2 linked regions of the Schizosaccharomyces pombe genome follow. The gene in region 1 interacts genetically with each later gene. Each region holds a gene or a part of one and is shown on either strand. Other genes may lie near its edges. The genes, in order: ppk26 and rud3.

Region 1 (5,085 bases):
CGATAAAAAGGGAAACTCAGTACCGAAAGACCCTGCAACGATCCAAGAACTTACCGTAGTATAACTACATCTCCTCTTTTGTAATCCTTATTCCATTTCCAAAGTAGTACCCTATCTCTCTGCAGCATGTTTGTCTCAGGGTTAAAGGCTGGTTTCATAGATCTACCTTCAATTGTACCGACGCTGACTACATGTTGTTCAACGAACATTAATACGGGTACCCATAGGGTAATTCCGACTAAATTTTTAAAAAATACTGATTTAAAAGATTGATTTCGAACGAAAGGGTTTGCCATTTTTTGAGGACAACTGCTAAACTCTCTCCTCTAAGAAGTTTATGATTAACCGTCTGTATGTACCTTAACAAGCATGGGAGTTTCCGTAATTAATAATTAAACCAGGAAAACGTATTAATGAATTTTATCTGATAAGTGTCAGGCTTCTATTCCTGATCGTTTTTGTTTCAATACGGTGTGTTGCAGTAGGTAATTCAAAACCACATTAAGCTTAGCTTCCTTCTAATATTATTATAGCGAAAACTATTATTTACTTAAATTAACAACCATGGTAATAGATACAAAAAAACAAATAAATATTCTGTAAAGAAAAATGTTTTATTTTAAGAATTTATTTCCATTTCGTAAACGTTGTCCAACCAAGCTTTTAGCTACATTTGTTATTGTTAGTAATTTTGCAAACAAACAGGCTATATAGTGTGGAAAAGTAGTCTAATTTACTAAGCACCCACTATGGCTTTTTGAGCAAATACTTACCTCCCCATAAGAAACTGAAACACAATCAAGTTCATCTCGGGAAATTAATGCGATGGCTTGATTTATACCGGCATCAAGCTAATGAATTAATAAATGCAATAATGAGAAAAATGTAAAAAACTTACCTTTCCCAGGCGATTCAGCACTTGATATAAATCTATCACAGGACACTCATCTTCATCTATCTGATGGAAAAGATAATCTCGTAATAAGTAGATTAATGAAATTTCTTTTTCTCGTGCGATAGGATATTCACGAGAAGCTCTATTATTATCAATAATAAACATAATCTTGCACAAAATATTAAAAAATCGACCGTGTTGGAAAGCGTCCGAAATTTTTCTCTCCATTTTTTCGCATTCCACGTATGGTGAACTCATTATAGGGAAAAAACTTTCTATGTGATTTTGCAAAAACAACTCCAAGTTTTTATCCTCAGGAACTTCCGATACAAAGTATAAAACCGCTTTATAAAATTCCCTCGAATATGTACTATAAATTGCTCGTGCGGCTGAAGACATGTCCATATCAGTTCTTCCAGTAGCTAAATTCGCAATCACAACTCCAAGATCTACAAAATCCTGCTTCTTTCGTTCCTCTAATGGAGGCTTGTTTGACACTACCAATTCATAGTCAGCGCAACCACTAATACGAATCCTTTACACGTTAGTATAAGTCATTAATGAATTAAAGAAATGTATTCCATCAAAACATAAAAAATGTTCAAAAAAAAATACCTTTCAGTTTGATCCACAAGGATTCTCGACGGAGTAAGCTTGTTGCAAGCAAACCCGGATTTATGTAGATATGACAAAGCGATAGTAAGCTGGAAAAAATAATTCCATAACTCTCGTTCTGGAATTTTTCTATTTTCCTCCAACTTGACAGAATTTTTAGAATTGTTTAGGTAGAGCTCACCAAGGGTTGTAGTACACGGATAAAAATCATAAATTAATAGTAACGCTTGATTAATTAGTAAGGTTTAGTAAAATAAACTTACAAGAATCATGAAATGTATCAGTATGAAAAGCAGAATGGAATGGTACGATATTTGGATGAAAAACATTTTTAAGCTTGTCGACAGTCGACGTATCAATATTAATTGAACAGTCTTTTAAATATATTAGCAATTGCAATTTATGAATCTGAAGGTTACCTTGGAGTCGTTTCAAAACGTAAGCATTCCCATCGATGGAAGAAGTGCATTTGTACGTCCAAGAAGAGAATCCAATTTGCTCTTTATACCGATAAAGCTTTGTATTCAGTGGCGCCAAAGAAGTATATGAAGATATAATAGACGGAAGCGCTAAAATATTAGTATAAAGGAAGCTAGACACAAATTAAGTACCTGAAATTGTCTGACGGGATGCCTCGCTCTTTCTCTCGATTCTTTCTCTAGTCGTATCATCAATAAATAGACCGTTTACAGTTCTTTCATAAGGAAGTAAAGTTGGCATGGGAGAAGGTTGCGGATTATATAAATTGTACAATGTCTGTTGTTGTCAACAACAATAATAAGGCTTTAGACTTACGGGTTTAAACTGGTTTTGACGAGTATAATAAACCCCAGAGTCATCATGAAAAGGCTCATTGACCAACATAGATGCATTATTGTAAGGATTAATAGCCTAAAATTACAGTAAAATTAGTAAGAAAAATATAAGCTGTTAGCCAGACATACATGACTACCTGGTGAAAGCGCAACAGGGGTACGCTCTCTAGATAGAAAAAGAGATTTTTCTTGTGATTTAGGAACAAATACTGCAGCGCCAGCAGCCTTTACTGGTAAAGCGCGAACAGGTTGAAAAGAGGCCGACGCAGCATTCAGTTTTTTCTTACTAGCGAGGTTAATTATACGTACAAAGCCTTAAAAAAAATCATACACTGAGTATTGCTCCAAATTCTCTGAAGAAGGGATGAAAGGCTACAAACAATCGTAAGCAAGAAGCTTCTCTGAAGTTAAGAGAATACGCCTATACTTACACCATCATGTCGAAAAGCACATCCATTTTCTGAATGCTTACAGGATCCATAAAGTAAGATATTTCTACATAATGTTCGTTTAGCTTTGGAATGGTCTATTAAAAATGGTGGTCAGTCAAGTTTTGCTTTGAATTTCCATTTACCTTTCAAATCAGTCACTGACGGAGACCTGGAACTCTCCCTAGAACGGGAAGTTGGCTTTGGGCTTGCAGGAGAATTCTTCCTCACACTCATCCTGTCAATTTCCAGGCAATCCCAAGCTAACAGTCTGAGATTATAGCAATTTAGTTACAGGTCGTGGAATCAGTAAGTCCCGGACAATACTAATAATGCAGCACAACGAAGTTTACTGTAATACTTTGCAACGCTACATTTTGTTTATATAACAATTTCATAGTAGTAATATTTAAGCATTTGAGAAGACAGTAATTCTAATTTATTTTTTATCTGTTCTTTACATGTAACGGGCAGTAACTATTTCGAAAACTTTAACAATAGCAAGTGTTATGTAGCAGTTGAACATGTCTTCGTAATGCTGCTATCTTTCTGCGATCACTGTAATTTAATTGCAAATCATAAAACCAAAGTAACTGAATTTTTTTTATCTTAACTTCTTCCTTAGTGCCAACTTTTGCGAATTGTTTCAAATGCAAAGCTATGTTTTTCAAGCAATTCGGCCTCCCATATATAGCCATTGCAAGTAAGAAAACTTAGTTCGCAGTTATAAATTCCCTATAGAAACTAACAGCTTGCCAAATTCACACTCCCCTGTTTTGCTATAAAATGCAATAAAAAATTACTGAAAGGGGTGGGACTCGAACCCACGAGCTTTCGCACTAGTGCCTTAAACTAGCTCCATAACCACTCGGACACCCTTCCTTTTTTGATCTGTCAGACAAAAAAGTATATATTATTTATTTAATTAATTAAAGAAATTTTAGGAATTCAGAAAAATATTTAAATTGCTAAAAAGAATAATAACAGACTGTCAATTATAAAAGCATATTTATTACCCTATTCTCTTTACATTGTCCTCTAAAACAGAGTAAGGAATGAAAAGTCTAATTGAGTTAAAATAGCTCAAAATGAAAAGAGAACGGTGAATTTTGTATTGAATAAGCTTTTAATTTTTTGAGAATGGTTACCCATGTTTTAATACATTCTTGAAAACTTAAAGACAAGTGTATGATATTTGGCATTTATCTCTGTCTGATTGGAAAAATTATTTTTAAAAGCTATGGCAAGTATGTGAACAAAAAATGGAGAAAATGCGTGAATATTGTAGATCGAATCATTAAAAAAATCCAATAAATGACAAGCGTATAAAGCATGACAAATTGCTTGTAGCCGTTCAATAGAAACTTTTATGTCTGTGCCGCTTGCTATATACTAAACATAAACAAATGGTGAAAGATATTTGAACACAAACTAGTTAACTCTGTCTGCTGATCAAACGAACGATAGGTTGCATGCATTGGGTTGCTTATTCCACTCAATAATTACTGCAATAAAATCAGCATCGGCATCTCGAAAAAATGTATGGCTTAAAGTGTTACTTCGTTAAAAACCTCTTCGTCGTTAACCGATGTCTATATTCCTAACAATTGTTTATAACATCGGAACTTGATATTTACATTTAAATCTTGAAAACAATAAACCTTTTGATCATTTGTAAATTGGGAAAGCATAATTGTTTATAAATTTAGTTGGAAGCTTAGGTATACAACTACTGTTGTATATTGTTGACATTTGATTGCTTCCACCACCGACCACTCTCCAGCAACTAGCTCATTCTTTATATGTAACCAAACAGGATGGGCTCTAATGGGTCAGAACTATGGTTTAATAAGGAGTTGGAATACTCCCAACAACTCACTAATGGAAAAATGAAAGAATTCTTCTTCCTTGTATCTGAAACCATGGACTGGTTGAATGAACACATGCTTGAAGTTTCCAAGTTACAGCTAGAGTCGTACGCATTTGTTGTTTATCATATGTGCTAATTAGATGGTTAGGGATATATATGAATTAGTGAGAACACCTACCAAGATAAAGGAGAAGTACTCCACTCCTCGTTTAAGTCCTGTACATCGATGTGCGTTACCAACGCCTCGCATGCGGTTAACATCTATTCAACATCAGCTTGAGGAAGCTGCTGTTGAAGGATATAAGTCGGGTGAATCCAATACAGTCAAGGAACCTAAAGAATTACATACTGCTACTAATACAGAAACCCAATTTGATGATGATAGGGATTCTACTAAGCTATCTTCTGAATATGTCAAAGATGATATAGTTAATAAATCTACTAAAGGTGGTGTATCTCCTA
Region 2 (4,225 bases), 2.0 Mb from region 1:
TACGAAAGCAAGCTATCCGAATGACTGCTGCTAAAGTTGCTTTAGCAGCAAGAATCGATTCCATTCATGAATATCCTGATGGCTCATTTGGCATATCTGCTCGAAAGGAAGTTGAACGGAAAATTGAAAAGCTTTTGGAACCTCCATCACAGAAACCAACTGTTGCGCTACCCGTTCCTGACGATAGGCCAAAACGTCGTCGTGGAGGAAGAAGAATTCGCAAGATGAAAGAGCAATATGCCGTAACGGAATTGCGGAGATTACAGAATCGCGTCGCCTTTGGTAAGGAGGAGGCGGAAGTCTTTAATTTTGACGAAACGGAAGGTCTTGGTATGCTTGGTCAAGAAGGTGAAGGAAAAATTCGTGCAGTGTCAATTGATTCTCGAACTAAATTACGGTTACCAAAAGCGCGGAAGGCCCAACTACAATCAATGGCACAGAAGAATCCCCTTGCTGCAAGCGGTTTACAAAGTTCATTATCCTTCACACCTATTCAAGGCATTGAACTAGTGAACCCCTTACTTCAACGACAACAAAAAGTAGAAGAGGCCAACAAATGGTTTCGTGATGGTGTTTTTACACAGATAAAGAAGGATTCTAATGAGCCGAAAAATAAATTTTCATAATAATGTCTTCATAATGATTAGTTACTTTGCATATAGCTATGTTGCTTTTGCATACTAGTAATACAGACCATAACTATGACCTGAGTGATTAAAATAAAATGATATTTTTAAAATTCTTCGAAAAAACTGATATTAACAAACAATTTTGAAAATTAAGAATATTGACTAATAGATGAAATTGCAACAAGCGCTTTTGCCATAAAGCTAGGCATAGCAGGAGAAGGCAAAATATCAAAATGAACGTATGAAACTATTACTTCAAGAATGATATAGTCAACCTTCAAAATGTGTGAAAAGAGAGTAAAAAAATACTAAAACCTTGTACGCGCGGCAAAAGGTAACCCCTAATTAAGTTGTGAAGTAAGAAAAAAAAAAGCGATACATAAAAAGAGCGAAAGATATTATTATTTACAGAAAAAAGAAAAATCTTTCATACCATTGCTCAATTGAAACGTAAAATTATCGGTTAGTGTGGAAGAAAATTATGAGTCATGGAAAGAACGTCTTTTGGAAAAGGAATGATCGGAGAATAGAGAGTTAGAGGACGCACTGTGAGGAATACTCCAATTATTTACAGAGGAACCAGGACGTTGAAGTCCCGTTTGTTCCCTTTGCGTATCGTTCCAATCTAACACGGAAGAAATTAATTGCAATATTTCGAAACGTTTAGTGTCAGCGCGAGGAAGCGTCAAAAAGGAGACAAACAAATTAGAAATAAGTTGTTTGTCAATTTTTTCTGCATTATTTCCATCTTTAAGCATGCAGAGAGCCTTTGTAAGATGTTCATTCAAAACAACGGCCTCGTGCTGCAGTTTACCAATAAGTAGGGTTTTTTCTTTCACCTCGTGCTCCAAATCAGAGACCCTTGAAAGCCTTTTCTGTGTAGCATCTAACTCATTTTGCAAATCTTCGTACTCTTTTGATTTAGAAGCGAATTTCTCAGTCACGTCGTCCATGGCCTTCTGCCAATTTCTGGTAAGTTCACCGAGGTTTTCAGTATGGGAAGCTTTGGTGGATTCTAATTCAATTTCTAGTTGATGCTGATTTGTCAAATGACGTTGAATTTCAACTTCATACTGCTCTTGTCTTTCAGTTTCTCTAGCTAGCTGCTCTTCACAATCTGCCAATCGAACGGCCAATGATTCTTGCATCTCATGTTCATCTCTGGCTCTTCTTTCCCATTGTTTTGATTGAGTCGATAACAATTGATTTTCTTCAACAAGCGAAGCATTTTGCTGTCTCAAATCTGTTATATCTTGCGTTAAGCTTTCTACTTGTGCGGTCAAGGTTACGGTTTCTTCATTGCTCAACTTAAGTGCTTCCTCTGCATCGCCCAAAGACTTTTCGAGCTCTTGAATTCGTTTTCGATTTTGAGCTAACTCTTGAGAATCCTTCTTAAGCCTTTCTCCCAACGTTGACTTAATTCCCGAGACCTTCCCGAGTAAATTAGAGTGTTGCTGCTTCAATGAGTTATAAGAATTCTTTAATGTTTGATAAGCTTCCTCCTTCTCCGCCAATTTCTTGAAAGATTCTGAACATTCTAAATGTTCATCGTTTTCTTTCAAAACTCCGCCTTTTTCATTCAATTTGAGCTCATTTTTTTCATCTTCTAAGTTCAAACGACTTAAATCCTCTTGTAAATTCTCATTTTCCACCAATTTTGTTTCATTTCCTGCATTTTCTGCCATTCCAGAAATTATGGGAAATTGAATTAGTGAGCTCTAGAGTGGCCCTAAAACATCCATCTTTTCGTAAACATTTCCATAAACCTCGATAATATTCCTTTAACTTGGTTTACGAAATACTAAACCTTTTGCTTTAAAATTTGTTACTACAATAAACAGTAGCAACGTATTCAACTTTAACTGTAAGCTACGCAGTTTGGTATCTGATTTAAGGATACGTAGAACTGCGGTGAGTTTTCCTTATGGTCTATTTATATTACAATACACAGGTTGTATAAGTAGCAACTGAGTATAGGTATTGTATTAACTGGGTTATAATGTTACCTATCACTAATATAGCTCATAACTGAACTGAGGAACGAGGTTCAGTTGTAACGCTATTTATAATATTTCTAAATAGTTGTTATTAACGGGTATCTATGTATATAGACGGATAGTTACCCGTGATTATCAATAAACGGATCTTAGCTAGTATTCCAACATATGACATATAGTGATACGCAACGTAGTGTATCATAGCGTAGTGTAGTATTGCTGACATTAACATACTTTGTTGACCGTTGTGCTGCGGTACGCCCCTATTCTTTCTCTGCTCATGTTAACCAACGAACGTGGTGAAATAAACCGCTAAGTTGGAAAAAGAGTGTTTCTTTCTTCCTTCTCCTTTCTCGTCCCTCACTGCCCAACATAAACAAACTCCCACACATATGAGGTTGAACGAGTCTGCATATTCTTTTTAAAGAAAAGAGTTGTTTTCTTATTCATATTGACGGTTTGGTAGTTCCTACGAACTTGCATTTCAGATTGTTTATTTTTCATTCGGGTTTTTGCAAAGTAAGTAGCGTTGTCTTGCATCTACGGTGATAGAGCTTTCTTTCAAATAAGGAGGATTGCTGGTCCTTGGTTTGGTCAACATACGGTTTTTAATCACATTTCGATTTTACGCTGCATTTTCGATTTGCTTCAGATATCATTAATTGGTAGATTTGAAGATTATAACATTGAAAAAGACTTTTTTCACTGTAAAAAATATTTATTTTTTTATATTCAGCTATTCGAAGAACATTTTTTTTGCATTTTTTTCTTAGCTGGGTAGGTGTTCTTCACATTGGAGAGCTGTTTTTGGTTGATTGTTTTGTTACAAGATTTTTTGCATTTGTATATTACACGGAGCTTTTCGTGCTGATCATTTTTTACTTCTTGATTGTTCTTTACTGTTTGTGGTATATTTCTAAAGAAAACACAAAGTAAAGTAATTTTGGGTAAATAACTTTTTCGTTGTGGCCCTTAGAACAGTATCCTGGTACTGCACATTTCTTCTACTGACGATATTTTTACCGGAACTCTGTTCCGTACTTAATTCTCGGCCATTTTTGACACCGATTTTTTAAGTAGATCCCAATACAGCATTCTTGGATACTTCTGTCTCTTTTAGCACCGTTTTCCTTCTCACAATCTACTTTATATTTCTACCATTTTCCTATGGGACGGTTTAAGAGGCATCATGAAGGGGACTCAGATTCCTCCTCATCCGCTTCCGACTCTTTATCAAGAGGAAGAAGGTCTCTTGGTCACAAGCGAAGTAGCCACATAAAAAATCGGCAGTATTATATTTTGGAAAAAAAAATTCGTAAACTCATGTTTGCTATGAAAGCCTTGCTAGAAGAAACAAAGCATTCAACAAAGGATGATGTGAATTTGGTTATCCCTGGTTCTACTTGGAGCCATATTGAAGGAGTCTACGAAATGTTGAAGTCAAGGCATGATCGCCAAAACGAACCTGTCATTGAAGAACCCTCCTCTCACCCAAAAAATCAAAAAAATCAAGAAAATAATGAACCAACATCTGAGGAGTTTGAAGAAGGAGAGTATCCCCCGCCATTACCACCTTTACGGTCTGAGAAACTAAAGGAA

Evidence for each region.
Region 2: mutations in ppk26 (region 1) and rud3 impair growth when combined (synthetic growth defect), as found in Schizosaccharomyces pombe (one large-scale study listed by BioGRID).

The regions. Positions count from the first base shown.
Region 1 is NC_003423.3:2,764,701-2,769,785, forward strand, and holds ppk26 (PAN complex subunit Ppk26), read right to left. Parts: upstream 3,054-5,085; 5' UTR 2,991-3,053; coding exon 2,900-2,990; exon of another isoform or gene 2,852-2,899; coding exon 2,757-2,851; exon of another isoform or gene 2,739-2,756; intron 2,698-2,738; coding exon 2,657-2,697; intron 2,612-2,656; coding exon 2,455-2,611; intron 2,402-2,454; coding exon 2,306-2,401; intron 2,267-2,305; coding exon 2,122-2,266; intron 2,080-2,121; coding exon 1,930-2,079; intron 1,885-1,929; coding exon 1,774-1,884; intron 1,737-1,773; coding exon 1,511-1,736; intron 1,431-1,510; coding exon 899-1,430; exon of another isoform or gene 852-898; coding exon 774-851; exon of another isoform or gene 769-773; intron 668-768; coding exon 620-667; 3' UTR 569-619; downstream 1-568. Other genes in the region: mmp2 (endopeptidase catalytic subunit), read right to left, coding at 55-296; INCENP-like protein Pic1, read left to right, coding at 4,571-4,728, 4,772-5,085. UniProt on the Schizosaccharomyces pombe protein: Regulatory subunit of the poly(A)-nuclease (PAN) deadenylation complex, one of two cytoplasmic mRNA deadenylases involved in mRNA turnover. PAN specifically shortens poly(A) tails of RNA and the activity is stimulated by poly(A)-binding protein pab1.
Region 2 is NC_003423.3:738,364-742,588, reverse strand, and holds rud3 (golgin protein Rud3), read right to left. Parts: upstream 2,327-4,225; 5' UTR 2,315-2,326; coding exon 1,109-2,314; 3' UTR 713-1,108; downstream 1-712. Other genes in the region: U4/U6 x U5 tri-snRNP complex subunit Prp31, read left to right, coding at 1-626; double-strand-specific ribonuclease Pac1, read left to right, coding at 3,794-4,225.